5 linked regions of the Sus scrofa genome follow. The protein of the gene in region 2 purifies or fractionates together with the protein of the main gene of each other region. This does not show direct contact. Links are inferred from orthologs where the notes say so. Each region holds a gene or a part of one and is shown on either strand. Other genes may lie near its edges.

Region 1 (6,905 bases), on a different chromosome or scaffold from region 2:
GAGACATCTGGGGAGACTGGGTGCCGTGATCTTCTAGAAGCTGTCGGGTCCAAGGGGAGCTTCTCAAAGGACTGTGGCTTCAGCCTGTAAGTAGTCATGTGAGTCCTTAAGATTGACTAATCCTGGAGTCCTGTGGCTCAGCAGCTTAAGGATTTGTGTTGTCACCGCAGTGGCTCGGGTTGCGGCTGTGGTGTGGGTTCAATCCCCTGCCTGGCAATTTCTGCATCCTGCCCATGTTGCCAAAAAAAAAAAAAAAAAAAAGAAAGAAAAAAAGATTGATTAATACCAAGATAAGAGCATTATGCTGCGGGAAGTTCAAGGATTCACCCTCCTTCCAAGAGGGGACTTTGCTTTGGCCAGAAATGTTCCCAACCAGGAGTGATGATGTAAGGACGTGCGAGAGAGAAACACACGAGGTCTTCGTGAGTTTGGGGTGCGAATGTGGCTCAGGAGGGCGGCCTCTTTGGCCAGAGGAGCGGGGGCTCGTCCCAAGGTTTGGACAAGGAGCCGATTTCCTTATGTTTTATCACACACACGAACAAGCCAAAAAATCTTGCTGAAGATGCCTTTATTGGAGTTCCCATCATGGCTCAGTGGTAACGAACCCGACTAGTGTCCACGAGGACGCCGGTTCAATCCCTGGCCTCGCTCAGTGGGTTAAGGACCCGGTGTTGCCATGAGCTGTGGTGTAGGTCACAGACCCGGCTCAGATCCCGCATTGCTGTGGCTGTGGTGTAGGCCAGCAGCTGCAGCTCCACCTCCAATTTGACCCTTAGCCTGGAACTTCCATATGCTGCAGGTGGGGCCCTGAAAAAAAAGGAGCAAAAATGCTTTTATTGATATTTGTCCAAAGGATGAGAAAATGTCACTTCCCCACATGCAGAACCCCCTCTAAGTCCCACAAACCTCTCCCCTCCCTGCCTCCCCACCTCTTGTCATCATCGCTGCGGTGGAAAACAGAAAATGGCTGGATATGGGTTCGATTCCTCTCCTTGCTCACTGGGTTAAGGATCCGGCGTTGCCTGTGGTGTAGGCCAGCAGCTGCAGCTCAGATTCGACGCCTTGCCCAGGAACTTCCATGTGCTGCAGGTGTGACCATTAAAAAAAAAAAAAAAAAAAAAAAAGTAAGGAAAACGTTCTCTCTTTAAAGGTGAGTTTAATGGGGGCAGATGAGGCTTTGCATCACACTGTGAGACTCACAGAGCAGGCACATAAAAAAATGGGGTTTTGAGAGAGGAGGTGTTTTCCTGGGAAGGACCGGTCACTTCTTTCTAATAAAACACGGAACAGAACCATTTTCCTGTGGTATCCTGGACGGCCCAGGGACCGTGCAGCCTGTGGGAGGAGCAAGTCTACACCCAGTGGAAGCACCACTAAAAGCCATGCTTCCTGAACCCGCCCGGAGGGGAGGCTGGACACTTGCAATGGTGCAGTAACTCCTGGGAGTGCAGAATGTTTCAGTAGTGGTTTTTGTGCAGGCATTATTTTGAATATGAGAAGGACTTATCCTGTGTAAATACTGTTGAATTACTGGAATCTTGAGTCTGTAGAGAGACGTCTACGATTGGTCCTTACTTCCCGTTTCTTCCTAACTCTGACCCCCTGCCCTCACCCAGAGGCTCACTGCCCTGAGCACTTAGGCCTGAGGGCTGGGCGCCCCTTCCGCCTGCCATCCGCGGGGTGAATATTCACATTCAGTAAAAACAAAGGGTATCTGTGAAAGAGCTGTGAGGTTGGGAACACATCAGCACTTGAGGAACAGGACGGGGGACCGCAGGATCTGGCACTGGGGACCCTGCTGCCCAGTGGGACGCTGTGCACACTGTACCACCGGGAAGCAAGGTGTTGCGCCTGCGGGCAGGGCAGGTAGGTCCGTCCTCTGAAGCCTCTTATTTACCCTCTTCCTCCTGGATCCCGGTTTCTCTGAGTGCCGCGTACTGAAGAGAAAGAACGCGAATATCTCTGCTCCCTTCAAGAAACCAGCGCTAAGGTGTGAACAGTCTTAGGCCGGGAGGGGCTTTACTGGAGAAGCAGAGTGGGCGTGATCAGCATAAAAGCGGTTAAATTGGGAAACCGTCCGCGGCCGGGTGGAAACCTGCAAGATGAGAGGCCTTTGCTCTGTGCTCATGAACTTCGGACTTGACTCCCAGGCCCCTCCCGACCTCCGCAGCGTCTCTGGAACCAGAGCCCATGCCCTCTGGGGCCTTGGTGCTTGCGGGGGCGCCCAGAGGGGACGAGTCTCCGAGGCTCAGCGTCCACTAGGTCCAGCCCACCCAGTGATGAGGAGCCAACTCTCCTGCACTGAGAATGCTCTGAGGCTGGCTGGAGGCTGGGCGTGGGCACGGAGGCCGCTGGCAGCTCAGAACAGGAGCAGCAGGTGGACAGGGCTCTCTGCGCTGTGGGTGCACACGGCCCTCGCCTCGGTGCAACTACACACGCACACGCCTGGCCTCCTCTCCTTGCGCACCTACACATGCACCCGCCCCTACACGCCCATGGGCACCCAACCTCTCTTATTCTCGAATACGTATACACACTGTGCACACACTCGCCCCCCCATGTGCGCACTTCTGTACGTGCATACGCACACACTCAACCCATTCTCCGTGTGCACACCCATGAATGCATCTCTAGCCCCTGGGTACGCGCGCGCACATACACACACTTGCACACTGGCTCCAGACCTCTGTGCATACACACTCACCTGCACACTTTGCCCCTGTTCCTCATGTGCCCACACGTGTATACACACTCCTACCCCCCATTCCCCGGATGCACACACACCCGTGTACATGCACAGGTGCACACCTCCTCAGCTTCTGTCCCCCTCCCCAGGTGCTTATATACGCACGTGCACCCCTAGTCCCTGTCCGCCGCGTGCGCACACGTGCGCATATCCCCGGCCCAGCTCCCCCGCGTGCGCAACACCGCGCCCCGGGGGCTGGGACCTCCTCTCCATCTTTGCTCGGCGCGCGCACACACACGCGCGCACATGCGGACGCGCGCAGGCGCAGCCCAGCCCCCCGGAGCGCGAGCGCGGGCCGCGGAGCGGGAGGAGGAGGAGGAGGAGGAGGAGGAGGAGGAGGAGGAGGGAGCCGAAGGCGCGAAAAGGCGCGCAGGCGCGCTGCGGGAGCCGGGCCGCCGCCCACGTCACCGCGCCGCGCACGTCACGCCGCCCGACGCTCGCAGGGTGAGCCCCGCGCCCCGGCGCCTCGGCAGGGCAGGGACCCCGGCCGAGCGCCGCCGGGACCGCCCGCTCTTCCGCGCCCGCCCGCGTGTGCGCGCCGCTGTCCGCGCGCCGACCTCCCGCCCGCCAGGTGCGGCGGGCCGGGGTCCCGGAGGGGCGCACGCGCCGGGCGCCTGCGGACCCCGACCGACCCCCGCCCCCGCGCGCCGCGTGCGCCGACCGGTCCCCGCGCGCCAGGGCCGCCGCGTGGGCGCCCAGGTGACCGGCCCGGCGGGGTCGCGGGCCAGGGTCCCCGTCGGGGCCTGCAGGGGCCTCCGGGCGGAGCAGCGCGCGCATCGGCGTCTGCGCCCGGCGGGGGTTGGGGCGGGCCGAGTCCGAGCGCACGGGGTCCGGGGTGCGGGGTGCGGGGGCCCGGCGGCGCCGACCCCACCTGCCCGCCGACTGCCGGTTCCGGGGCGTGGGGGGCGCTCGCGGGAGGCCGCCGCGGCCTAGTGACAGGCTGGAGGCCGGGACCCCGGAAGCCCACCTGTCAGAGTTACGGGTCGGCTGGTGGTCGCGGGTGGGCCGGGGCGCCCGTGGGGAGCGCGTGTGCGCAGAGACTGGGGCTGCGCCGGGTGGGAACGCGGGCCGCCAGTGCGGGCTCGGCCTCGCTGCTGGCTCTTTGTGCGCGTCTGGGGAGGCCGGCGGGCATTCTGGTGGCGGACGAGCTTCCATTCCTGAGATGACTTTAAAATCCCCAGCGTGGGGGCTGTTTCTGCGGCCCCGCTCCGAGGGTGGAGTGTGGGCATGGAGAGGAAGGCGCCGCTCCCCTGAGCCGCGGTGGGGATGGTGGTGGTGCTGGGGGGAAACGCTGAGGTTTGTGAACTTCTTATTTCATCCTTATTCACTCCTTGCTTTTCCTTTCTTCTTTTTACCAGAAAAGTCATTTTTCTTCTCTGGAGGGTGAACAACTATAGCATCGATTTCACGGATCTGGTAACATGGCAAAAGATGTAAGTATGTTTGCTTCCTGCTGGACGCATGTTTGCCTACTGATACATTCTTGGTAGTTTCCCGATTTTGTTTCAGAATGACAGCACACAACATTCAGGAGCGTTTATGTTCAGACTCTTAAAGCACATGAAACACGCTAAAGGTGAGGAACCCAGAGGAGCCCCGGTGGCCTTTATGGAGGGTACTTTGCAGGCCTGAGCCCCCAGGGGGGCCAATGCCCGATGGGGCTTGACTGACCCGATCTGTGGGTCTCTTCTGACTGGTTAACTTGGAAATCTGAGTGCCTTGGTGGGGGACCCTGGGCAGGCGCTGGACTCGGTGGAATGGCGCTGAGCATCCTCTGCAGGTACCGTGTAGGATGTTACTTCAGCTTTGAGCCGTAACAGGCTAAGCACTGGGTTTGGCAGCCTTTTTTCTCAGAAAAAGTGGCACTTGGTGCCTAGTGAAGTGGGGTGCAAAAATTCTACTTTAGCTTTATATTTGTCGGGGAGCTATAGAATTTGATGAGTTAGTTTTTTTCTCTTGTTTTAAGAAGTAGGCTTTTCGGCCCCAAGATTTCGGCTTTTATCATTTGGGCAGCTCTTTCGATCCTGGGTGACATCCGTGAAATTCACTGAAACCCCGGCTCCTCCTTTAGCGTGTCTCAGGACGTGCTGTTCCGTAAACATTAATGAAAAGAGGCAGTTTATTTATTTACTCGTGTGTTGCGTGGAGGTGGAAATGCAGCTCTGAGGACGTGCATCTGCCTGAGACACAGCCGGAGGGTAAAGCACGTCCCTGTTGGTGGCGCCAGGAAACGGGCATGATGCCTCCGTCACCTCGCGGGTTTGAACCTTCTGCAGGGCGCCTGTCGGAAGGCACCCCACCCGCTGGGCCTTAGGCTGTGGGCCCCCGCGCCAGTTAGTTTGGCAGAGCGGGTGAACACGGGGCTAGTGTGGTGGGTTTGAGCTTAAAACCAGAGTCTGTGTGTGATGTGCAGGTGGTGTTACCTTCTAATCGTCAGTGGCCAGGCCCAGTTCTCTGCCACTGTCGCCCGGAAGACGCAGGACGGGAGCTGGTGCTCAGCAGGGGTGCAGCTGCCCCCATGCCTCCCATCGTGGGTGGAGGTGGGGAGCTGAGTTTGCCTCTCGTCCTGTCTGAACCCCCTGGAGGAGGCGTCCTCTCCCTCCCCCTGGGCATCCGGGGGATGGGAAGACAGTCCAGGCCCGTGCCTGGTTCCAGGAGACTCCTGAGCGGCCTCCTCCGAAGGTCACTCCTGGAGGTCAGCCCAGCGAAGGCTGGGTCGCTGTGGGCCACCTGGTGGCTGGGTGGGGGTGATGGGGACCACCCGTTGAGCTTGGGTACGTGACACAGTGGAGGTTGGTGTCGCGGTGAGAACAGCCAGGTAAGAAGCAGTGGCTTTGCCTGTCCTGGGTTGGGGTCGGCAGGTGTGCTGGAACCGGGTCTCTCCAGGGCTGTGCTTGGCGGGACAGAGGCTGCGGGCCGCTCAGGCTCAGCCCCGTCTCCCCCTGCGCTGGGTCTTAGGTCAGGTGTGACATTGGAATCTGGGAAGCTGACCATTGTCGGGGGGTAGGGGGCAGGCATAGGAGGCTCACTCTGCCCTTGGGGGTAAGGTCAAAGCCTGCAAGCACCTCGCACAGCCTCTGGCTGAAGCGGGTGGGCTGGGACCCCAGCTGGGCCATTGGGCCCAGGGAGGCTGGCGTTAGGTTCGGGGGAGGCGGGGGGTCCCAGTGGAGGCGGACAAACTCGGGGACTGATGGGGGCAGCCAGCCTGCAGAGGCCCGGGGAGGGTGGCGATTGAGGGCCGTCCTGCTGGTGGTCAGTTCCCCGAGAAGACCCAGAGCTTTCCTCCAGCAGTCGTAGGCCCGCCTGGGCTCCGGATCCAGCGCGGCCAGGCCCGCCCAGCCTGTGCACATCTGCTCGCTCTGGGTCTGCAGGAGGTGACGGTGTCCTTGGCGGGGGTGCCCGTTCTCTGCGTGGCCCTTGAGTGTTGTGTTTACGGGTTGACGTTCGGCCACACCAGGCTTTTCCTGACCGGCTCTGGGTTGTCCATCTAGCAGGACGCGAACCGCTGAGAAAGTTCAAGTAGCGGGTCTTGTATCAGGAGCGTCGTGTTTATTGTCCCCGGGTCTGAAAGCTCCAGGGAAGGAAGAAGGAGAACCACAGCCCCCGTTGGCCGCGGCAGGAGTCGCTGCGGCATCGCGGTTCATCCCAGTTGGACTCTCACTCGGTCGAGTGTAGGGACGGCCTCTCACGAAGCCGCGGGCGTCTGGGCTCCTTGCTCCTCACTCATCTTCACGTCACGGACACGTAGGCCTTCCTCTGGGTGTCGATGCTGCCACGGCCCCCTTGGCAGCTGTGGGTTCATTGGATGCGTTGGGACTGGGGATGTGACGTATTGAAAGAGCGGGTTAACGGGGGGGGGCGAAGAATGACTGCTCCTCGCTTGTCTTTGAAACGTCGAACGCACGGAGCGCGGGGGCCCTTTCTTGGCGCGCGGACCGAGAGCTCCGGGCTCTGAGTGCAGCCCTCTGGGCTGCTTGCCGCTTCGTCTTCTCCTCGCCCATGTAAGCGCCACGAGGGGGTGGTGAGACGGGGACCCAGCCGAGTGCCGGCCTGACAACACGGGCCATCTGGGAGGCCGGCAGGGGAGCTGTGCAGCCCGGCAGATCCCCTCCGGTGTGTCCGTCCCCAGGCCCTAGCACTGGGGATTCTGGTGGTTTCC
Region 2 (6,084 bases):
TAGAAAGAGAACACTGGTGACTGGGGGAGGAGGCATCTTGGCGATTTCTGGGGGCGGGTGGGGCAGTAAGGGCCCCAGGGGCTCTGGGTAAGGGGGCTGAGGAGTCAGTGTCCAGAAGGACACGCCGACTACGGGGTTGTTGACACTAAGGGAGAGGGCGGGCCTCACCCCGTGAGGGCGGAGGTGCCTGATCTTGCGGGGGAAGGGGGCCTCATCCCTCTGGGTGAGAGGGAAGCCCAGCTACTACAAGGGGAAGGATGATTCCAGTTACTCTGGATGAAGAGGTCTTCGGTGGCTACCGCCTAGGAAAGGGGACCCCGCAGTTCCGGAGGCCAGAATCAGCTGCAGCACCAGAACAGAGTCAGAAGCCAGGGGGGCGGGGCCTTGCGGGGTCCCGAGAGCCCCGCCCCTCTCGATGACAATGGGGCTGTGCGCAGGTGCCAACCGATCCCGGGCATTTCTCGGTGCTGCTGGATGTGAAGCACTTCTCGCCGGAGGAAATCGCCGTCAAGGTGGTTGGCGAACATGTGGAGGTGCATGCGCGCCACGAGGAGCGCCCGGTGAGCCCGCTGGCGGGGGCGGGATCAGAACGTGCAGGCGGGAATCATAGGCCGAAGGGGCGGGGCATCTACAGGGAAGGGGCGGAGCCTCTCAAGCTTCTCTCTCCAGGATGAGCACGGATACATCGCGCGCGAGTTCCACCGCCGCTACCGCTTGCCGCCTGGTGTCGACCCGGCGGCCGTGACGTCCGCTCTGTCCCCTGAAGGCGTCCTGTCCATCCAGGCAGCACCTGCGCCGGCCCAAGGTCCATTGCCGTCGCCACCGGCTGCTGCCAAGTAGGGGTCAGAGAACCCTGGGAGCCGCCTCAGGCCCCGCCTTTTAAAGCCGACCTGACTCCGCCCAGCCAGATGTCCCCCGGCGCGCGCCAAGACTATCCGCCCACCCCACCTGGGATCTGCCTTGACCCTTCCAACCTAGACTCAGTCCTGATAACCCAGGCCTTTACACTGACACTCCGGGCTCCTACACCCTCTCCAGCTTACAAACCTCCAGACACTTCTCTAGTTTCCAGACCCTACAAAGCACTGTCCCTCAGCCTGGTCTCCCATCCCCAAGGACCCCACTTGGCATAAAACCCCACTCCAGACACCCTATTTCCTTCTGACTCCTCTAGGCAAACATCTCCACACCCCGTTTCAATCCACGCGCCAAGATTTTGGTGGAGACAGCCCTGCCCCCACCCTAAACCTAGGCAAAACATGCATAATCCCTGCTTCCCCTCAAAGGTCCCAGACTATGCACAGACCTCCCACCCTCAACCATCCTGGCCTGGTCCACAACCTCTGGATCCTTCCCCTCATTCCAAGCAGCTACTCCAGTACCCCTCACCCTCTCCCCTCAGCCATCTTCTAACTTGAAACCTCAGCCAGCTACCCCCAGACTCTTGAACCCTTTTTCTAATCCCCTATTCTAGGCCAACCAGGACCCTCAGCCTCAAACTGTACAGATACCTACCCCATCTCCCCAGATGCTGCACAGATATCCTAGGCTCCCATCTCCAGCTCTAACCAGAACCCCCCCTGTCTTGTCCCTCAAGTCTCCAACCACATAATCCCAGGCAATCCACTTTCCACACCCCTCCCCCTTATTCTCCAAGATCCAAAGCAGCAGCCATTTTCTTTGGCGCTCCACAATCTTTCTCCCTCCTTGAGTTTCTTGACGCCCCCATCCCCTCACCCAGGCCCACTCCCCCAATAAATGTGCTGGAGCTGTGCCAACGGCTTTCTGTCTGGGCCAGGAAGGATGGGCTGGAGCAAGTGGAGGCCAGTATGGGGCAGGGGAATGTTTATTGAGGTGGGGGGACAAGGGAACATCACTGTCGCTCGTACATCTCCCGTAGGATCTTCATGCTTTCCGAGTAACGAAGCTGGTTCCGATGGGATGCCTCCTTCCACCTGTGGCGGGGGTGGGAAGACAGAGGGAGGGCTCAGCAGTTGGAGTAGAGGCCACAGGGATCATGCACGCTGGGGGCTGCTCACCTCTGGCGGATGCGTTTCCAGCGCTGCATGTTTCGGTAGATGAGAGTGGAGGGTGAGGGCTCAGGCTCGGAGGGCTGCATGGACAGAGAGGCCAGGCTGGGCATCCATGCCCAGCCCCACTACATAGGCCCCATCGCTCCGGGGCCAGCCTTGCACACCCACCTCGTCATCAGGGGCACCCTGGGTCTCAGGCTGGAGCGGGGATGGAATTCGGGATCTGCAGGTGTCTCCAGGTGGCCCAGGAGCTGTGGGTGGAGGCAGCTTATACACGTCTCGACTCTTGCTGTTGGTGACCTCTGAACCCTGGGGATACAAGGGCCCCACGCCATGCCCAAGAGAGTCAAAGAGGGGCAGGGACACACATTCCACACCTTGTGCCTGTTGCAGTGGCAAAAGACATGAGAGTCTCACCAGGGACCTGTACTTAGGCATCCGGTCTGCTGCTCCAAGGATCCCTGTTGTCTCCTGTCCAACCCAGGGACCCCCAGTGCCCAGCATAGAGACCTTCATTTACCCTACCCAGCCCAAGGGGTCCCCATCTGCTTCCTTAGGTCAAGTGGTTACAGCTATTTGCACTGAAGACCCCTGCCCCATCCCCTAGCCCTTGGAGGTCCCTGATCCTGGAGTTCACATCTATCTGCCTGACCCTGTCTCCGCTCCCTCCCAGGCCAGACAGCCACATCTGTCTGCTCCAGAGCGCTCCAATCATTTCCTTGGCCTAAAGGTTCGTATCCGTGAGCCTCACTGGATCCGGGGGTCACTTGAGGGACACAGAGACCTGTGCTTACTGATCCTACCAGCAGGGAGGGAGCCCACCGCCCATCCCACCTCCTCATCCTCAGGCAGCGGGGGCAGCGGTGAGCTGGGGGAGCGTTCCCGCTCGCGCACGGAGGGGCTGTTGCGCATCCAGGCTCGGCAGATCGGGTACAGAGGTGTGTTCTCACTGAACTGAGCCAAGTCCACGCTCCGATCAAACAGCTTGATCACGTATGCATCTGGGGTGGTGAGAGCAGGAGGCGTGTGAGGGTCCTCACAAAGCCGCCTGTCCCTGCCCCGCCCCTAGGGCCACCACCTACTCACTGGATCGCTGTGGCCCACCCTCGGCTAGCCCATCATCCATCTCCCTCCTCTTCTTCCTCCTCTGGTGGGGGAATCGGGCGGATGGCCTGTGTGGGAGGGAGAATATCAGGACCAGGGCAGGGTCTGGGGGCCTCTCAGCTGGCTGGGCCCCTGCCCCCTTACCGTTTGCCAGTGGCCGCGATGGAGCAGTCCCTGTGGGAAGAGACAGGGTGTCAGCAGGCTCACCCTTGTCTGCTCGAAACCGCCCAAAGGGCACCCAAAGGGTGATCAAGCTGACATGGGCCCCAACCCCTTAGGCCTTGGGTCTCATCCCCTAAGGCTCAAGGTGCCATCGAGAGGGGACCTGAGCTTCCGCTGCCCCAGGGCCTTTGTACTTGTAGGACGGTGACAGGCGAAGCATGAGGCAGGGGGGTCAGGCTCAGATGAGGAAAGTTACACACCACAAACCCTCAGTGGCAGATCCCATCAATAAAACTCACTTGTTGTGGGCGTCTGAAGGGGTCTTCCTGGCCTCCTCATCCAGACGCTCCCTGGTAGCAGAGAGAAATGTGGGTTCAGGGTTCCAACGGCTCAGAGTGGGCAGGCCCCCAGTGATCTCACCCATTCGTTCCCTTCCTCCCTAAGCCAGCCTCTGGAGTCCCATCCAGGGCCAGGGGGTCCAACCTGCCAGGGCCCCCAACCCCATGACCCCATGCACAGCCAGATCCCAACCTGTCCATGTGACTCTTCTCCAGAAGACACTGCAGAACAGCATCCAGCTGGTTCCGGGCCTTGGCCATCTCCAGCTCTGAGGAAGAAGGGACCAAGCAGGAGTCACTCCCCTGGCCCAAGGCAGCTGGGCAGCCACCTGGGCCAGGGAAGGGTATGCATATCTAATCTTTGGGCCAGGCCCGGGCAGACTGGGAGGACACAGCAAGCAGGGACTACTGAATGATAAGCAACAGCTCTGGGTTCCAGGGCTGACCCACATGCTCATGTGTGACCTAAGGTAAATCACCTTACCTCAAGGAGCCTGTTTCCTCATCTTGAAAATGGGTCTCTGAGTGATACCTATCTGCTCGGACTGTTCTGAGATTTCAATAAACCCATGCTCTATATGACTCTCTTAGCAGGATGCATTAATAAAAAGTAACAACATATGGAAGTCCTCTTGTGGCTCAGTGGGTTAAGGATCTGGTGTTGCTGCAGCTGTGGCACAGGTGGCAACTACTGTGGCACAGGTTCCATCCCTGGCTTGGGAACTTCCACGGGCTGTGGATTTGGTGAAAAAAAAAAAGTAATAACATAGAGTGTTTGGGGAGTTCCTGCACACGGGAAACTAATCCGACTAGGAAGCATGAGGTTATGGGTTCTATCCCTGGCCTTGCTCAGTGGGTTAAGGATCCGGCGTTGCCATGAGCTGTGGTGTAGGTCACAGATGTGGCTCGGATCCTGCGTTGCTGTGGCTCTGGCGTAGGCCGGCAGCTACAGCTCCGATTCGACCCCTAGCCTGGGAACCTCCATATGCCATGGGAGCAACCATAGAAAAGACAATAATAATAATAATAATAATAACACAGAGGGTTTGTTACGTGCCAAACACTGTTCCAAGCACCTCATGCATATTAACCCACTGAGTTTTCACAATGACCCTGGTGGGCAGATATGATTTTTACCCCCATTTTATAGATGAAACTGAGGCACAGAGATGTTAAGTTACTTGCCCAAAGTTACCCAGCTGGGACATTGCAAGGCTGGGGATTTGCACTAGGTCATCTGGCTCCACAACCGAAGTTATAAGGCAGGGGCTCAAACTGCTGCAGAATCTACTCCTCAAATGTGTTTGAGGTATTGGTGTTATTTTAAGTCTGAGTTAAATCTGAATGCAATGACTACATTTAATAAATGGGAGTTCTCATCTAAAATACCCATTTTTGGCTTTTTCCTCCCAGGGAAATGAGATCCGGGCCCACCTGCCTGCAGGCCACAGGCCCTGCCTGGCCTTACCAGCCTGTGGGTCTGCCTCTCATTATCAAAGAACTTAAGGAGGTGACGATGCTGTAAATATCCTCCCCTTGCTCCTGAGGGGTGTTTGCTCTCCTCTTCCAACTAGTAGGAGCGCTGGCCCAGTGCTCAGAGCTTGGAAGGACACTTGGGGACATGCTTTACCAGCCCCGAGACTTCCTAAAGAGCCCAGGAGACGTTACTCAGAGGAGAGATGGAGGGGATGAGGGGCTGGAAGCAGCTGATATTCTAGCAAAGAGCCTTGGGTAGGAGCCAAGGTTTGGATCATGCCCTCATCTCTTTCCCTAGTCCCTGCTTCCCTCCTGAACCTCAGACCTTGGGACCCCATGGCCTCCTGGACCCCTCCCTGTGGACTTCCCCCAGGCTCCTTCCACCTACTGGGTCCCACACTGGCCTCAGTGTCTCTCTAAACTCACCCCTTTTCCTGGACCCCCATCTCAGGAGTATCCCCACTGTCCCTCAGTCCCTCCCTGGGCCTCATCACTGTCACATCGCTCCCTTCCCCACCCTGGCCCTTTCCCTTCTTCTCCCCTGGGCTCCTGACCCCAGTCTCTCCTTCTGATCCACTCGCCACACAGTATCCAAGGGAATCTTCCTAAAACCAAACCTGACCTTGATCCGCCCCTGCTTGGAACCCTCCACCACACTGCGGTGCCCCCGGCTCAGAGTCTGAGCTCTTCAGCCTGGTGTTCACAGGCCTGCATGATTCTGCCTGCTCCTTCTTCACCACCATCATTTTGTGGTCAGACCCCCTTCAATTATTTCGGCATTTGTAAAACTCTCTCCTTGGCTCAAACCCCTCCCTCGGCTCCCCATTTCCCTCAGAGCAAAAGCCAAAGTCATAACCAGGGTCCATAAAATCTGCCCCTCACCACCCACCTCCTCACACTTTCTTTTTTTTTTTTTTTTGTCTTTTTGCTATTTCTTGGGCCACTCCCGCAGCATATGGAGGTTCCCAGGC
Region 3 (6,201 bases), about 13 Mb from region 2:
CTGCAGAGACACTGCCCATCCCATTGCACCACAGTGAGAACTCCCAGATGAACTTTAAAAAATTGATAAGCACTGGCTATAGAAGAAAGATCAGTTTTTTTTTGTTTTGTTTTGTTTTTTTTTTTGTTTTTTTGTCTTTTTGCCATATTCTTGGGCCACTCTCGCAACATATGGAGGTTCCCAGGCTAGGGGTCGAATCAGAGCTGTAGCCACCAGCCTACACCACAGCTACAGCAACGCGGGATCTGAGCCGAGTCTGCAACCTACACCATAGCTCACGGCAACGCTGGATCCTTAACCCCCTGAGCAAGGCCAGGGATCGAACCCGCAACCTCATGGTTCCTAGTCAGATTCGTTAACCACTGAGCCACGACGGGAACTCCCCAAGATCAGTTTTAAAATTAGGAATCACTCTGTGTCAGTGCATACTCAGAATATGGATGATCTATGTGAAAACTTACTCATTTTTGAAAGAGGAGGCATAGTGGCTTAATGGCTCAACTGCTTTTCTGCTTTTTATCCACTCAGACCCATAGATCTGATAACTGGTCTTCCTCAACTCTATTTCTGTAGAGTTTTTCCTTCCCTAATCTATGGATTAGGACTTGACTTTAAACTTCATTTTTTTGCACTTATCACGTCTCCATTTTGATGAAGTCTTTTAATATTTTATGAGATAATGTCAATGTATTCTAACTGCAGCTTTGTTTCAAATATAAATCTAGTAAATTTATTTGCTTTTGTATCATCACGAAATTCAAATGTTAGCCCACAGACTGTCAGAACTATTCCTATCAATCCTCTGGACTTCCTTATGTATTTTAGTATTTAAAACCCACTGATGTGCAATTTTTACAGCTAGACATGGGAGAGGGAAAGGAATGCTTCTTAACAATTAACGTTGGTGTGAATGTGTACTGTGGTGTTAAGTACAATAGACTAAGCTATAATGGTTAACAGTTTCTGTTTGGGATGTTGAAAAACTTTTAGAAATAAATGGAGATTGTATAACATTATGAATCTAATGCACCTCAATTGTACACTTAAAAAGGGTAAAATGGTTAACTGTATGATATATATATATAAATAAAATTTATTATTTATATTAATTTTAATATAAATTTTAATAAAATTTTATATATATATATTTTTTTACTAAAATTTAAAAAATCTACCAGGGAGTTCCTGTCGTGGCTCAGTGGTAACAAACCCAACTAGAATCCATGAGGATGCAGGTTTGATCCCTGGCCTTGCTCAGTGGGTTTAAGGATCCAGTGCTGTAGGTCACAGATGCGGCTCAAGATCCCGTGTTGCTATGGCTGTGATGTAGGCTGGCAGCTGCAGCTCCAATTCGACCTCAACCCTGGCAACTTCCATATGCTGTGGGTATAGCACTAAAAAGCAACAACAAAAAAAACCAGCTAATAGTATAATATACCCCAAACCATTGAATTGTATAAATGTGTGAAATATGTGATTCATCTCAATAAAGTTGTTTAAAAAAGTACGTTAATTGAATCCAAAACATCTATGTCCATTTTTACTGAAGAACGTTATTGAATTTTAGTAATTTTCTATATATGAAAAGTGACAAAGATGAAAATGCATAAAATGGGGTAAGTGCTTCCAGATGATACCTTAGTAATATCAAGTTCATCAAGTCTTCTTATCAGGTATGGCTTTACAGTGAAATCACATCTCACATGAGTGTTAGGTAGAAATTGAATATGATAGGAAAATAGAAAATTATTTAAATTACCCTTGAATCATCAAGGCCCTGTGGTATTGGAGAGCAAGGTCCAGGTAGATTTAGCAGAAGGAGGAGTCAAGAAGGAGCACTGTGAGACAGAGAAAAATTCTTCATTATGATTTTGCCCAGGGAGTTCCTGTTGTGGCTCAGTGGAAGCGAATCTGATTAGTATCTATGAGGACACAGGTTCAGTCCCTGGCCTCGATTAGTGGGTTATTGGTGTTGCCGTGAGCTATGGTGTAGGTCACAGATATGGCTTGGATCTGGCATTGCTGTGGCCGTAGCGTAGGCCAGAGGCTACAGCTTCAATTTGACTCCTAGCCTAGGAACCTCCATATGCCACGGGTGAAGCCCTAAAAGTACAAAAATAAAGTAAAATAAAATAAAAATAAAATTTTGCACAATAGTATTTAGTTGCATTTTCATTCATTGAATGTAGCTATGATGTGACTCCTATAATTTTATGAATTATAGTATTTCAAACACTTAACTATTTTTGAACATAACAGCTTGGATGGAAGTTAGATCTGTCTCCTTGAGTTAAATAGTTTTTTTTCTGTTTTTGATCCTAGGCATAACATCTCCAACCACATTATATGATAGGTACAGCTCTCCAACAGCCAGCTCTACCAGAAGGCGGTTATTTGTTGAGAATGATAGCCCCACTGATGGAGGGACCCCTGGGCGCCTTCCCCCACAGCCTCTCGTCAATACTGTCCCTGTGCAGAATGTATCTGGAGAAGCAGTTTCTGTCACACCAGTTCCTGGACAGACTTTGGTCACCATGGCAACAGCCACTGTCACAGCCAACAATGGACAAACAGTGACCATTCCTGTACAAGGTAAGGAAGTCAATACTGGATATTGAGTTCTTTCTCTGTGGCATTTATTAGAAAGTTACCTGAGATTTGGTTGGAATAATATGAGAACAGAGGTTTGAGAAGGGAAAAATTTTCTTTGTGTTTTCTTTTTTTTTCAAACTTTAGGCATTGCCAATGAAAATGGAGGAATAACATTCTTTCCAGTGCAAGTCAATGTTGGAGGGCAGGCGCAAGCTGTGACTGGCTCCATCCAGCCCCTCAGTGCTCAGGCCCTGGCTGGAAGTTTAAGCTCTCAACAGGTGACAGGAACAGCCTTGCAAGTCCCTGGTCAGGTGGCCATTCAACAGATTTCCCCAGGTGGACAACAGCAGAAACAAGGCCTGCCTTTAACCAGCAGCAGTGTAAGACCCAGGAAGACAAGCTCTTTATCGCTTTTCTTTAGAAAGGTAATTTTTCACATACCCTTACCAGGATAAGAGCTTGGGAAATATAAGGGTTACATAAAGTTTGAGATGTTTTTGTTTATCTACTAGGTTTACCACTTAGCAGGTGTCCGCCTCCGAGATCTTTGTGCTAAACTGGATATTTCAGATGAACTGAGGAAAAAAATCTGGACCTGCTTTGAATTCTCCATAATTCAGTGTCCTGAACTTATGATGGACAGACATCTGGACCAGTTGTTAATGTGTGCCATTTATGTGATGGCAAAAGTGAGTACCATTAGGAAAGGAAAAAGGAAATATGCTACTTAACAGCTTTATTGAGATAAAATTCACATACCATATAATTCACACATTTAAAATGTACAGTCCAGTGGATTTTAGTATATTTATACATGTGTGACTGTCACCACAGTTTTAGAACATAATACTCCATTATATGAATATATGATATTCATTCATCAGTTGATGGACATTTAGATTATTTCCTCTCTGGGGCTGTTATAAATAATGCTGCTATGAACATCTGTGTACAAGTTTCTCCATGGAAGTCTTCATTTATATTTTGTATATAACTAGGAGCAGATTGCTGGGTCATATGGTAAATTGTGTTTAACTATATGAGGAACTACCAGACTGTTTTCCAAAATCACTGCACCATTTTACATTTCCACTGGAATTGTCTGAAGGTCCTGATTTCTCCACATTCTCACCAATACATTTTATTATGTGAGTTTGTTTTTTAATATAATTTATTGAGGCGAAACTCACATAACATTCCCCATTTTAAAAACAAACAGCTTAAATTTTAAAACTGGTAACTTTTCTTTTTTAGGTTTGTTTGGCTAGGCTAAATCCCTTGAAATTCTTTGACTTGTAGAATCGTCTTGTCGATTCTGACATCATGTCACAAAGAAATCAGGTGGAGTTCTGTTGAATCTGAAGGTCAATTTGGAGTATTGCTATCTTACCCATATTTCACCTTCTTATCAATGAACACAGAATATTTCCCATTTATTTAGGTTCTCCTTAAAAAAATTTTTTTTTTTTGTCTTTTGTCTTTTTAGGGCCGCACCTGTGGAATGTGGAGGTTCCCAGGCTAGGGGTCTAATCAGAGCTGTTGCTGCCCGCCTACGCCAGAGCCACAGCAACGCCAGATCCAAGCCACATCTGCGACCTACACCACAGCTCATGGCAACGCCAGATCCTTAACCCACTGATCAAGGCCAGAGTTCGAAACCACAACCTCATGGTTCCTAGTCGGATTCGTTTCCACTGCACCACGACGGGAACTCCAGTTCTCTTTAATTTCTTTCAGCAATATTTTACAGTTTTCAAGTATAACTTTTATACTTTTTTGTTAACTTTATTCTTATTTTGATGCTATTATAAATGCAGTTTCATTTTTGATGTATTCATTGCAAGTATATAGAAATACAATTGATTTTTGTATGTTCATCTCATATCCCACAACCCTGCTGCATTCACTTTTAGTTCTGGGTTAGTAGATTCCTTAGGATTTTCTGTGTACAAGATTTTTTTTTTTTTTTTTGCTTTTTTTGCTTTAAAGGCTGCACCTTGTAGCATATGGAGGCTAGGGGTCAGATCGGAGCTGCAGCTTCCGGCCTACGCCACGCCCACTGCAACACCAGATTCGAGCCACATCTGCGACCTACACCACAGCTTGCAGCAATACCTTGTCCCACTGGATACTAGTCAGGTTCATGACTGCTGAGCCACAATGGACTCCTGTAATAAGATTATGTGATCTGCTTATAGAAATAGTTTTACTTCTTCCTGTTCATACTGAATGCCTTTTTTTTTTTTTTTTTTTTCTTTCCTAATTACTCCGACTAGATCTCTGGTAAAGTTGAATAGAAATGTTGAGAGCAGAAGTTCTTGCCTTGTTCCTTAAGAGGAAAGCATATAGACTTTCACCATTAAAGTATGATACTAGCTATTTTTTTTTTAAGGACACTTTTATCAGGTTGAGAAGGTTCTCTTTCTAGTTTGTTAAGCATTTATTATGAAAGGGTATTGGAAATGATCTTTTTGCATCTGTTTAGATAGTTGTGGGTTTTGTTTTTTATTGTTGATAGTGTATTAGATGATTTTTCACACATCAAACTAACCTTGCATTCCTGGTGTAAATCCCAATTGATCGTGGTATACAATTCTTTTTCTATGTTAGTAGGTTCAGTTTGCTTGTATTCTATAGATGAATTTTGTCCTATTCATAAGAATAATTTGTAGTTTTCTTGTTATGGCTTTGGTTTTATTATCAGGGTAACATTGGACTCATTTAATGCCTTAAGGAAGTATTTCTTCCTCTTCTATTTTTTCTAAGAGTTTGTGAAGAATTTGGTAGAATGTTAAATATTTGGTAGAATTCAGCAGTGAAGCCATTTGGGGCTATGCTTTTCACTGTGGGTAGTTTATTGATGATTCTTTTTCTTGTTGTAAGTCTATTCAGATTGTTTCTTCTAGAATCAGTTTTTGTAGTGTGTCTTCCTGGGAATTTGTCTCTTTCCTCTGGGCTTTCTAATTTGTTGGCACACAGTTGTTCATAATACTCCTTTTTGTTATATTTTTTAGGGCTGCACTTCCAGCATGTTGGCGTTCCCAGGCTGGGGGTCTAATTGGAACTGCAGCTGCTGGCCTCTGCTACAGCCACAACCATGCATCTGAATCTTGTCTGTGACCTACACTGCATGTCACAGCAATGCCAGATCCTTAACCCACCTATTAGGGCCAGGAATTGAACCTGTGTTCTCATGGATGCTAGTAAGATTTAGCACTGAATCACAACGGGAACTCCCACAATCTTTGAATCTTTGTCTAGCTGAAGGTTTATCAATTTTGTTGATCTTGTCAAAGAACCAGCTTTAGGGTTTTGTATTATTACATGCTCCCATCTTTATTTCCTTCTTTCTGCTTGCTTTAGGCTTAAATTTTGCTCTTCTTCAGTGCCTTAAAATGGTTAGGTAGGAGTTCCCATCACGGCTCAGTGGTTAACAAATCTGACTAGGAACCATGAGGTTGCGGGTTCGATCCCTGGCCTTGCTCAGTGGGTTAAGGATCCAGCATTGCCGTGAGCTGTGGTGTAGGTCGCAGACACAGCTCAGATCCCACGTCGCTGTGGCTGTGGTGTAGGCCAGTGGCTACAGCTCCGATTCGACCCCTAGTCTGG
Region 4 (4,983 bases), about 17 Mb from region 2:
GGCACCAGCCTGGAGGTGCCCATCCCAGAGGTGGGTGCTCAGCACAGTCAGGCGGGGTGGATTGAGGGCGGGTGCTGGCTGCAGAGCCCGATAAGTCCCGGGTGGGGTCGGTAGGGGGAGGCCTGGGGTTTGAGGTTATCTAGGAGAACGGCAACCTGGGGTGGGAGAGGACACTGGCTCAGCAGGAGCCAAGCCTGCTTCCAGTTCCATCTCTCCTCCATCCCGCACCCCCACCTCCAGGGCCTCAATGGGCAGAAGAAATACCAGATTCACCTGAAGAGTGTAAGTGGTCCCATCGAGGTGCTGCTGGTGAACAAGGAGGCATGGAGCTCACCACCCGTGGCGGTGCCTGTGCCGCCACCTGAAGATCTGCTCCAGAGCCCACCTGCTGTCTCTACCCCTCCCCCTCTGCCCAAGCCTGCCCTGGCCCAGCCCCAGGATGCCTCACGGCCAAGCAGTCCCCAGGTGACCACCTCGACCCCTTCCTCCGGCAGCACTGAGGCCCAGGGGGTGGCCGGTCCAGCAGCTGAGATCACAGGTGAGGCACATGGGTAGTTGGTGACAGGGTGATTTCTGGGGCCCTGGAGGCAATACCTCTGTGTGACAGAATGTCCTTCTAGATTGGAGGAGACTCTGGGGCAGGTTGTCTCTCCCTGCCCTCACCCCACGCACTGGCCTCTCCTCACTAGTGCTGCGAATGAACCCTTTATAACAGGGAAGTTCTGACTATGCGAAAGGGCATTAGTGCTGGCAGTTTCCCCCCAGATCTGCCAACGTCTCACTTGACCTGGCATCCCCTCTTGAAGTGTGATCACAGTGGCCATGTCCATGAGTCTCCTTCCTGCAGGACTCACGCCTCTGTCTTCTTCAGTGAGATTTTTGATGTTACTTTCCTGGGAGTGGTTGGCAGTGCCTAATTCTCCTTGGGCCCAGGAACCAGGGCTATAGTCATCTTGGCTGTGGGTTCTAGAACAGCCAGCTTCGATATCCTGCTTCCTGTTCCCAAGTGACTGGGTTTGGGGTGTGTGGTTGCAGTGAGTGGTGGCCCTGGAACTGATAGCAAGGACAGTGGTGAGCTGGGCTCCCTCCCACTGGGCCCGACAGCGCTGGATACCCGGCCGCTGCAGTCCTCTGCCCTGTTGGACAGCAGCAGCAGCAGCAGCAGCAGCAATAGCAGTTCATCCGGACCCAACCCTTCTACCTCCTTTGAGCCCATCAAGGCAGACCCCACAGGCGGTGAGTACTTGTCCCCTTGGGAGCAGGGAGAACCCAGCCTCAGACAGTCCTAGGTCAGAAACAGAACTGGGCCTGGAACGCAGCTCTCCTAACTCCTCAGCCAAAGCTGGCTGGCCCCACAGCCAACCCCCTGCCATCCACCAGAACTCTGCCAGCCAGAGCGCCCCTCTGCCCGCTTCCTGGGCTGACCCAGAACGCCCTGGCCCTCCCCAAGCCCTGTCTACCACCTCCAGGACTCAGGACAGCGTGAGCACTCTCCTGGGGAAAGGGCTGCAATGTGGCCTCAGGCCCCACAGGTGGGCAGTGTCTTCTTCAGAATGGGAATGCCATCTGCCTGGTGTCTCCTTTCCATCTTGTGACTTGAGTGCTTTTTCCAGGACTCATTCCCCTTAGGCCCACAAGCACCACTAAGTCTCCCTCATTAAATGACACAGTGTCTGTCCCCTGTGTCCCCCTCTCTTATCTTCCCTGTATCCTCTCTGTCTGGACTTCCTGAAAAAGTTATCTCCACTCTGTCCCATATCCAGGTCCCCCAGTCAGCTGGAGGATGCAGCAGTCAGGACCCCCACCCCCCCTGCCACGCCAGTGCTGCTAGTCCTGATGGCCAGTGCTGGCGGGTTTTGGGGCTGATTTGCTCTGGTGCTCTCTTGCTCTGTCTTGATGTGCCTTTTCGCCTTTGCCATTTATGATGTCAGCTCTTGGTTCTTGGCTCCTAACTGGCTTCTTCTTGTAACTTCTCTCTGGCATTCCTTTAAATCTGGCTTCTCAGAGTCCATCCCTCTGGAAGGCCCCAGTTCTGAGTAGATGGATTCCCAGCATCTGTGTATAGGTTTCTTGCCTAAAAACTTTACTTCCTGTGTCCACGTGCCTTCCTGTGCACAGCCGACAGGCACCTCACTCCCATGTGTGCTCAGCCGAAACTCGCTTTTCTTTTCCTTTTTTTTTTAATACTGATTTTTATTTTTTCCATTATAGCTGATTGGGAGTGTTCTCTCAGTTTTCTACTGTGCAGCAAGGTGACCCAGTCACTCTTAGATGTATACATTCTTTTTTCTCACATTGTCATGCTCCATCATAAGTGACCAGACATAGTTCCCAGTGCCATACAGCAGGATCTCATTGCTTATCCGTTCCAAAGGCAATAGTTTGCATCTGTTAACCCCAAATTCCCAGTCCATTCCACTCCCTCCCCCTCCCCCTTGGCAACCACAAGTCTGTTCTCCAAGTCCGTGAATTTCTTTTCTGTGGAAAAATTTCATTTGTACTGCTCATTAGATTCCAGATATATGATATCGTATGGTATTTGTCTTTCTGACTTACTTCACTTAGTATGCATCTCTAGTTCCATCCATGTTGCTGCAAATGGTATTATTTTGTTCTTTTTGATGGCTGAGTAGTATTCCATTGTGTATAAGTACCATGTCTTCTTAATCCAATCATCTGTCGATGGACATTTGGGTTGTTTCCATGTCTTGGCTGATGTGAATAGAGCTGCAATGAACCGAAACTTGCTTTTCCACCTCTGTGCGTACTCGACCATTGGCTCTAGCCACCCAGGCCTGACACTTGGGTGTCACCTCAACTCTGTCTCCTCCTCTGTCCTTCTCTTTCCCCCCATCCCACATCAGCTAATGAGTTTTCTCCCAGACACCCCCATTGATGGCCTCCTGTATCCTCAGCATTCAGGATCACTGCAGCCACCGCTCTCCTAAGTCCCTCAGCATCATTTTTACTCCAACAAGGATCTGTCACAAACAGCTTGACTGCGGTGTTTCTTTGTTACAAAAGTACCTTTAACAGCTTCCTAAGGTCTGGTGGATAAAACCAGAGCCCTTAAACTGGCATGTGAAATCCAGCTCCAGCGCTTCTTTCCCGTTTCCCATGTGCATCCTCCTGGTCAGACCTTTGGAGCCATGTTGTCACCCTGTAGCACTGTCCCCTTTTGAAGAGCACCTTCTCCTTTGCCAGATGTGGCCTGGGGTGTGGTCTCTGAGCCCGGCACCAAAGAGGTGCTTATTAGCCAGGTCAGGGTGGACAGGTTATCTTCCCTCAGACAGAGTGTCCTCCGTCAGCCGGGGTGTGCACACTGAGCCCAGAAAGGGAGAGGATGTACTGCCTTTCAGCAGAACTGCGGAGTTGGAAGGGGCAGTGCCAGCTGCCTCCCCTGGGCCTTTGGCACCCTGGGCTCGGCACTGAGGAATTACAGTCTGGGGGGACCAGCTTGGCCTGGTGCAAGACCTATGTCTGAGCTGTGTGGACCCCCAGGTGGGTGGTGTGGAATCTGGGGAAGCGGGGGCTAGAGTGGGACCTGGCTGGCCCTCTGTGCTTTGAGAGTGGCTTTCTTGTCTTTCAGTCCTGGAACTCCCCAAAGAGCTGTCAGAAATCTTTGATCCCACGCGAGGTAGGGCTGTGTTCCTCCCTGGGGCTGGGGTGAGGGGTACAGCTCATTGGGTCTTAGGGCTCTTTTCTTGCCCTTCTGAGGACCTTATGCTTGTGTTTGGTACCTGGGCAAAGGGTAACGTTCCTGATGGCTGGGTGGTCCCCTTCATGGGCTTTGGCGGGTGGAGAGGTGGGAGCCAGGATGTAACTGCGCTCTCCCTCCACCCCCAGAGTGCATGAACTCAGAGCTCTTGGAGGAGCTGATGTCCTCAGAAGGTAGGTGCCCAGGAAGGTGGGGGTGAGTGTGGGCAGGGTTTGGGTGGCTCCTGAGTGGGATCTTGGCTCTGGGGCCTCAGCCTGTCCCTCTCCGCAGTGTTTGCACCCCTCCTCCGCCTTTCTCCACCCCCTGGAGACCACGATTACATCTACAACCTGGACGAGAGTGAAGGTGTCTGTGACCTCTTTGATGTGCCTGTTCTCAACCTCTGACTGACAAGGGCATGCCCTTTGTGGCTGGGACACAGACTGTCTGACCTGGGGGCTGCCTGGGGACCTCCCCGACCCCATCCCTACACAGCTTGAGAGCCGCAGACTCCTGGCTTCCCCAGACTTCCCTCACTGCACAGTTCTGGCCACAAGTCCTACTCCTGCACCAACACCTGTACGGTGCTGGCAGAGCAGGGGTAAGGGGCTTAGCCCACTCCACGTGGAGCCAAAGTGTTTGCCTCTCCTGTTTTGGAGCCTTCCCCTACCTAGTACCCTCCCTGGGCCCTCCCAGAGTTGAGGCTCAGCTGCCACCCAGTGGCACAGAACCGAGGACCCTCCATCACCCTCATAGGGCAGCTTGTCCAGCCCCACTGTCCGGTACCTGTCAGCCCCTGTCCCCTCCAGGAGGAAGCATGGGGTACTTGCCAGCACCACCCAGCCTCCTTCGCTTCTGCCCACACGCAGTCATACAGCTCTCCTGGTCCTCTCGTGTGCCCCCTTCTGCTGGGCCCCTGGCCCTGAGGACCTGTAGGTGGTGGTAGGGCTGCCAACAGGAAGGAGCAGAGAGCTCTAGCTGGGAATCTGGGCGAGTGAGTCCCTGAGGATTGGCCGAATCTCCGTCTGCCCCCAGCCACCCTCTTGTTTATTCATTTACCCTGTTAGAGCCATTTGCAGAGATTTAGAAAGATTTGCAGTAACAAATGGATTCCTATATAAAGATTATTTTTATACTTTTTGCAGCAAAAGGAAATTGTAATATTTGTACAGTGTCCAAGTGAATAAAGACCGTGCCTAAGGCTATCTCTGATCTGGTTCTTTCGGAGCCCCGCCCTGGGACTCTGCTGGATCGGGACTGGGACTGGGCGGGTCACCCTTCTGGGA
Region 5 (6,201 bases), on a different chromosome or scaffold from region 2:
CTCATTCAGCTAACTCCTGAACCTTCAAAGTTCACTTGAAAGGGGTTATTTTCTCTGAGAAGCTTTTCTTGCTCCCTCAGTCTGATTTAGATTTTCTTTCTCTCTCTCTCTCTCTTTTTTTTTTTTTTTTTTTTTTTCCTTTTTAGGGCTGCACCTGTGGTATATGCAAGTTCCCAGTTTAGGGGTCAAATCAGAGCTGTAGCTCTCAGCCTACACCATAGCAACACCAGATCTGAGCCGCATCTGAGACCTACACCATAGCTCACGGCAGTGCTGGATCCCCAACCCACTGAACGAGGCCAGGGATCAAACCCACGTCCTTGTGGATACTAGTCTGATCCGTTACCACTGAGCCACAACAGGAACTCCTAGATTTTCATTTCTTGTTTCTCATATACCAAATTTTTGTCCTCCCACATACCAAATACCATTTTTTGTCCTGTTATTTTTCATAAAACCCTTAAAAAATGTTATAGTTATTGATATCCTCTCTCTTTTCTTCCAGATTATAAACTCCTTGAAGACAAAGCTGTTTTGTCATTTGAATCCTCTGTGTTAGGGACACTAAAATGTTTATCGAGTGACTAATGTTGTGTTTTTTTCTTTTTAGTACCAGGTGTTGCTGAATTTGCAGCTTCTTTCAAAAGTGTAAGTAGTATCTTACTTACCTAATGAAGTTTTACCAACATTTTGCTCCTGGGTAAAATATCAAATAGCTCTTATTTTTTTATATTCAAGAATAATGTCTTAGCCTTCAAAATTATTTTGTAACTACAGCCCCTGAAATCTGTTTATATTATCATCATGCTAATGATGTTCTATTTTGGTATTTTGACCTTTGACTATTAGCCTCTTCTCTCAGCTTATGAGATTTTAAGGTAAAGCTATTGAAATTTTTAATGTAATGCCAGTATTCTTGTTGCCCAAACTGTGATTTTTGAAGCCTTTCTCTTTTGCTTATGTGATGCATTATGACCTTAACTTATACCTCCCTAGAGGATTTTGAAATTTCTCAGTGGCTTGTCAGAGACCAAAGGAAGGCATTTTTAAAGCCATAGCTTTTCCACTTCCCGGGCAGCAGGCATTATGCTAGATGTATATTCCTAGAATACCTCCTGTATATTCTTGGAAAATATGGAAAGCAGGAAAATATGATGATTATAATATTAGTCAGCATATACATAATGTGTACTATAAGCTATATACTTTACATACATTATTTAATCTTCACAAAACCGTATGAGCTATAGGTACTATTATTATCCCTATTTTACAGAGAAGGAAATAGACATAAAGAGGTTAAGTAGGTTACTCAAGATTATAGGCTACAAATGGCAAAACCAGGCTTTGAACCTCTTAGTCTACTTACTAGCGTCTATGCTCATTATACCATATTTAGAGGCATTTGTACCTAAAGTTAAAAGCACTGACTGGCAGAGAAACTTTTTTTTGTTGTTGTCTTTTTGCCATTTCTTGGGCCGCTCCCATGGCATATAGGGGTTCCCAGGCTAGGGGTCCAATCAGAGCTGTAGCCGCCGGCCTCCGCCAGAGCCACGGCAACGAGGGATCCGAGCTGCGTCTGTGACCTATAGCACAGCTCAGGGCAACGCTGGATCCTTAACCCACTGAGCAAGGCCAGGGATGGAACCTGCAACCTCATGGTTCCTAGTCGGATTTGTTAACCACTGAGCCACGACGGGAACTCCTCAAATAATTTCTTTCATGGCTCTACTTACCTATTTTTCGTACACTAGTAACAGTATTCAGACCTAAATCTTTCAAGATCATTACTTTAAAACCAGCTTTTAAAGATCAGTAGTATTATTTTGTAAGGGTTCTATTTGTAGGTCAGAGCTGAATCTGGAGAAATCTGGTTCTTTGAAATTATAACTTGCTGGTATTTTCAAACAACCTGAGGACTGTGTGACAACCTCCTTTTCTTACAAGAAAGAAGAGTAGAGAGTTTCCGTCGTGGTGCAGTGGAAATGAATCCGACTATTATCCGTGAAAATGCAGGTTCAATCCCTGGCCTTGCTCATTGGATTAAGGATCCGGTGTTGCCACGAGCTGTGATGTAGGTTGGATCCTGTGTTGCTCTGGTGTAGGCTGGCAGCTGTAGCTCTGATCTGACCCCTAGCCTGGGACTTCCACATACCAGGGTACGGCCCTAAAAAGCAAAAAAAAAAAAAAGAAGGAAAAGTAGGATCTCTATACATTGCACATGTCTGAATAGATGTATTCTTATTTTCTGACAGCCCATTACTAGCTCCCCACCCAAATGGATGGCTGAAATAGAACGCGATGACATTGACATGTTGAAAGGTAAGCAAAGCTGGTGACCTCTAACCTTCAACCTGACTTTTATGCTCCTGTGCAAACCACCTTTCCAGTTTTTCTTTCACGATTCCCTTACAAGTATTTTTGGCTTCAAATTGCCTATTTAACCATCCTTATTCATGGTTCTTCATATCTAAATGCCTTTCTCTACTTTTCCATGTGTAGAAATAATTCAAGACCCAACCATACTGATTTTTTCTGCTGCTAAATTCCTTTAATGTTAATTTTATTTTGTATAATACTTAGCGTTGGAGTTCCCATCTTGGCTCAGTGGAAACAAATCCAACTAGGAACCATGAAGTTGTGGGTTCGATCCCCAGCCTCGCTCAGTGTGTTAAGGATCTGGCATTGCTGTGAGCTGTGGTGTAGATCACAGATTCATATCGGATCCTGCGTTGCTGTGGCAGAGGCCTGCAGCTGCAGCTCCGATTCAACCCTAGCCTGGGAACCTCCATATGCCTCGAGTGTGGCCCTAAAAAGAAAAAAAAAAAGAAAAAATTAACGTTAACTATAAGCTCTCACATAAAATTTCTTATTTAATTCTCATAAAGACCCTGTGAGTTAGATATGATGTCTAAGGTTCAGAAGTTAACCAAGCTTTATTATAGAAAGAGTTAAAATTTAAACTCTGAACTTTTTTTTTTTTTGGTCTCTTTGTGTTTTCCAGGGCCGCACCAGCAGCATATGGAAGTTCCCAGGCTAGGGGTCTAATCAGAGCTGTAGCCGCCGGCCTCCGCCAGAGCCACAGCAGTGCCAGATCTGAGCCGCGTCTGCAGCCTATACCACAGCTTACGGCAACGCCGGATCCTTAACGCTCTGAGTGAGGCCAGGGTAGAACCTGCAACCTCATGGTTCCTAGTCGGATTCGTTAACCACTGAACCACGATGGGAACTCCTAAACTCGGATCTTTTAAAGCTAGTCTCTTACTGTTATAATGCAAGTGCCTTATTTAGGATTTGCTGTCATATATTGTTATGAGTACTATTAATTGACAACCCCTTAGTGGGTTAAGACCTGTCTTTTAGTTCTTTCTATCTCATCAATTTCTCCCATAGAGAATACTGTAAGTAGTGAATATCATTGTTTGATAAATGGCTTGGGACTAAATCACAAAGTAGAAATTTAAATTAAAAAACATTAATTTTCCTTGATTTTGCTCTACTTTACTTAATTTTTTTTATCATCCTCGTAGTGATAAGATTCATGATGGTTGTGAAGTAATAGAATGAAATTGAGGTAAAAAATCTGGGGTTCTTAAGCTATTTAAGCAGCTGAACAGATTCACAAAGTCTACTTATGCCAGATATAGATAATAAGTATGGCATGATGAGTGAGAGAAAATAACACCTTTATTTGACTTCAGAAATAATTCATTGTTCTGCATGAAATGCTTAAAAGCAGAGCCCTTCCTCCATCTGGAAAAATTAAGTCTCAAGGGCATCTTGGGTTCATTGTTCTAATGTTCCAAACAGACATTTATATAATATTCCATCAACATGTATTTTCTAAGGAAGCTTTAAAGTTTGATAAGGGATCAGAGCATTCTGTTTCATGCAAGTTCATGTATGTCCTAAACTTAAAAGGAATTAAGTTCTGTTTAAATGAAAATCTGGGAAGATAAAATTTTAAGTTTACTGTCTTTTTATCTGGTAAAATTAAAAATTTTTTTATGGGAATTTGATTTGAAGGTAAAATTTGGATTAATATTTAGCCTGTTTTCTAAACCTGGAGAAATAGGAAAGAATAAGTGTTTTATTGTCACTTGGAGTAATGTGGACTTATAAATGACAGCTGAGATAGTGTCCTTTTTGTGAGACAGAGATCTGTCTGTTTGCTGTCTCAATGCTATGTCAGATCACAAGTTTTCAAATTTTAACCATATATTCATTTTGTATGATACGCAAAATGAATGTTACAAAAAGATCCTCAGGATAAAACATGTAATTTGTTGTTGTGTTTACGTTAATTCTCTTCTCATTAAGTGGGTAAGCTTATCTGAGGCATTTTGCAGTGGTGGAAAAATTCACTGATTTGATTTGTGCGTTTTTGTGTGTGTGCACGTCTGTGCTGGGGGTAGTGGTGATGTGATTTGTTGAGAAGAGATATGGATCCATTTTCTACTTATTTCATAGGAATTAAGCTTGAAATTTTTATAACAAGGATTTGCAACCCGCATGCGTTGTTACTAGAAGCAGTGGAAAGAAATGGTATTGAAATAAATGATTCTGTTTCAGAACTGGGGAGCCTCACCACAGCTAATTTGATGGAGAAGGTACGAGGCCTTCAGAACCTAGCCTATCAGTTGGGGCTGGATGAGTGTGAGTACCCAGATCCATTTATTCAGGGTTGCATGTTGTATATTTAATGATGAGCTCTGGTGTAATTCAGAAAGTAACTTTAGTATCTTTATTAGATGTTCTCAAGGTAAGAAGCCACTATAATCTAAAGTGTGCCTTTTATAGTAGAGTGTCAAAGTAATTACAGAGTTTACTAGATTACAAGTTATTGTTCTTTGTATAGTGAAAGCATATTGGTAACTCTTAGTTTTAAGCGATAGAATGTCAAATCAAACAATCTTAAGCAAAAGAAGGATTTTATTCACATAAATCAAAATTCTAGGGGTAGAAATAGCTTTGAGTATATCTAGATTCATGACTCTTAGTGAAGTCTTTGGAATATGCCCTCATTCTTAGTTTTAGTTTGCTATCTTAAAGCTCTGCTTCACTCATGCATTAATATTATTCTTTGATCTAGCACCAGGGAAGGTAACCAGCAGGAACACCAGCTCTTATGTCTTTAAATCTCATAATCCTAAAAGAAAGAACATCTTTTCTGCACATGGCAAAGAAAGGTCTTGGGGAGGACCCTGACTGTTCCATCTTGACTCACATACCTATCTTGGAACCAGTCCTTTAGCCAAGCAGCATGGAGCACTGGGATGGGCCAGGCCTGGGGCCTGGGTGTGGATGCAGATTGGAATGGTTATTCAGACTCAAATCACATGGAGTGTGATTGTGGAGGATTGGTTCCTCAAAGGAAGGTTCATGTAGTAGACCAGGAACGTAATCTGCTAGTATGAGTGATGCTTTTAAAGTTCTCATCTATTCCTAACTGTTCTCCATTCTTTTAGTTTAAAATTATTTCTTGGGAGTTCCCACTGTGGCTCAGCAAGTTAAAAACCCAACTAGCATCCATGAGGATGTGAATTTCCCTGGCCTCGCTCAGTGGGTTAAGGATCTGGCATTGGTGTGAGCTGTGATACAGGCCAGCAGCTGCAGCTCTGATTCAAACCCTAGCCTGGGAACTTCCATATGCCCCAGGTGCAGCCCTAAAAAGCAAAAATAAAATAAAATAATTTCTTTATAAACTATATATCTTTCCATACTATATTCATTATAAAATTGGAAGAGGAATTGTACCAAATTTTCACTTTGTAATTGAAAGAAATACTTAGCATAAATACAGTGCTTAGAACTTTGTTCTCAAGGGGTAGGTACCTCCTGAGACCTTCATAAAGCCACAATTTTTTTTTAAGTACTTAATGAATTTTATTACATTTATAGTTGTACAACAATCATCACAGCCAAATTTTACAGCATTTCCATCCCAAACCCTCAGTGCATTCCCCCACCCCCCAACCTGTCTCATTTGGAAACCATAAGTTTTTCAAAGTCTGTGAGTCAGTGTCTGTTCTGCAAAGAAGTTCATTATGTCCTCATAAAGCCAAAATTTTGAGGGATTACTGTAGCTTATGATTTTTTTTTTCAGAAATGCAAGTTTTGCCCTGATTAGTGGTCTCAACAAAAGTTTCATAAATTGTCTTTATTTATAGAGTATATAGTGAATTTGTTCACATCATTGAT

Evidence for each region.
Region 1: the proteins of LIN37 (region 2) and TFDP1 purify together in Homo sapiens (co-immunoprecipitation; 3 studies listed by BioGRID and IntAct, with this or other methods). This does not show direct contact. The link is inferred for Sus scrofa from reciprocal best matches to the Homo sapiens genes LIN37 and TFDP1.
Region 3: the proteins of LIN37 (region 2) and RBL2 purify together in Homo sapiens (affinity purification with western blotting; 5 studies listed by BioGRID and IntAct, with this or other methods). This does not show direct contact. The link is inferred for Sus scrofa from reciprocal best matches to the Homo sapiens genes LIN37 and RBL2.
Region 4: the proteins of LIN37 (region 2) and E2F4 purify together in Homo sapiens (co-immunoprecipitation; 4 studies listed by BioGRID and IntAct, with this or other methods). This does not show direct contact. The link is inferred for Sus scrofa from reciprocal best matches to the Homo sapiens genes LIN37 and E2F4.
Region 5: the proteins of LIN37 (region 2) and LIN52 purify together in Homo sapiens (affinity purification with mass spectrometry; 6 studies listed by BioGRID and IntAct, counting the BioPlex papers as one, with this or other methods). This does not show direct contact. The link is inferred for Sus scrofa from reciprocal best matches to the Homo sapiens genes LIN37 and LIN52.

The regions. Positions count from the first base shown.
Region 1 is NC_010453.5:78,752,341-78,759,245, forward strand, and holds the start of TFDP1 (transcription factor Dp-1), read left to right. Parts: upstream 1-3,181; 5' UTR 3,182-3,317; intron 3,318-4,104; 5' UTR 4,105-4,167; coding exon of another isoform or gene 4,168-4,179; 5' UTR 4,180-6,905. UniProt on the Homo sapiens protein: Can stimulate E2F-dependent transcription.
Region 2 is NC_010448.4:45,177,130-45,183,213, reverse strand, and holds the end of LIN37 (protein lin-37 homolog), read right to left. Parts: intron 3,907-6,084; coding exon 3,831-3,906; intron 3,650-3,830; coding exon 3,599-3,649; intron 3,312-3,598; coding exon 3,282-3,311; coding exon of another isoform or gene 3,206-3,281; coding exon 3,120-3,205; intron 3,035-3,119; coding exon 2,868-3,034; intron 2,343-2,867; coding exon 2,202-2,342; intron 2,114-2,201; coding exon 2,040-2,113; intron 1,956-2,039; coding exon 1,874-1,955; 3' UTR 1,831-1,873; downstream 1-1,830. Other genes in the region: HSPB6 (heat shock protein beta-6), read left to right, coding at 438-560, 670-840.
Region 3 is NC_010448.4:31,765,727-31,771,927, reverse strand, and holds part of RBL2 (retinoblastoma-like protein 2), read left to right. Parts: intron 1-2,322; coding exon 2,323-2,592; intron 2,593-2,736; coding exon 2,737-3,017; intron 3,018-3,104; coding exon 3,105-3,281; intron 3,282-6,201. UniProt on the Homo sapiens protein: Key regulator of entry into cell division. Directly involved in heterochromatin formation by maintaining overall chromatin structure and, in particular, that of constitutive heterochromatin by stabilizing histone methylation.
Region 4 is NC_010448.4:27,836,518-27,841,500, forward strand, and holds the end of E2F4 (transcription factor E2F4), read left to right. Parts: coding exon 1-30; intron 31-240; coding exon 241-538; intron 539-1,035; coding exon 1,036-1,236; intron 1,237-3,589; coding exon 3,590-3,637; intron 3,638-3,846; coding exon 3,847-3,891; intron 3,892-3,988; coding exon 3,989-4,104; 3' UTR 4,105-4,902; downstream 4,903-4,983. UniProt on the Homo sapiens protein: Transcription activator that binds DNA cooperatively with DP proteins through the E2 recognition site, 5'-TTTC[CG]CGC-3' found in the promoter region of a number of genes whose products are involved in cell cycle regulation or in DNA replication.
Region 5 is NC_010449.5:97,390,556-97,396,756, forward strand, and holds part of LIN52 (protein lin-52 homolog), read left to right. Parts: intron 1-610; coding exon 611-648; intron 649-2,255; coding exon 2,256-2,322; intron 2,323-4,572; coding exon 4,573-4,656; intron 4,657-6,201.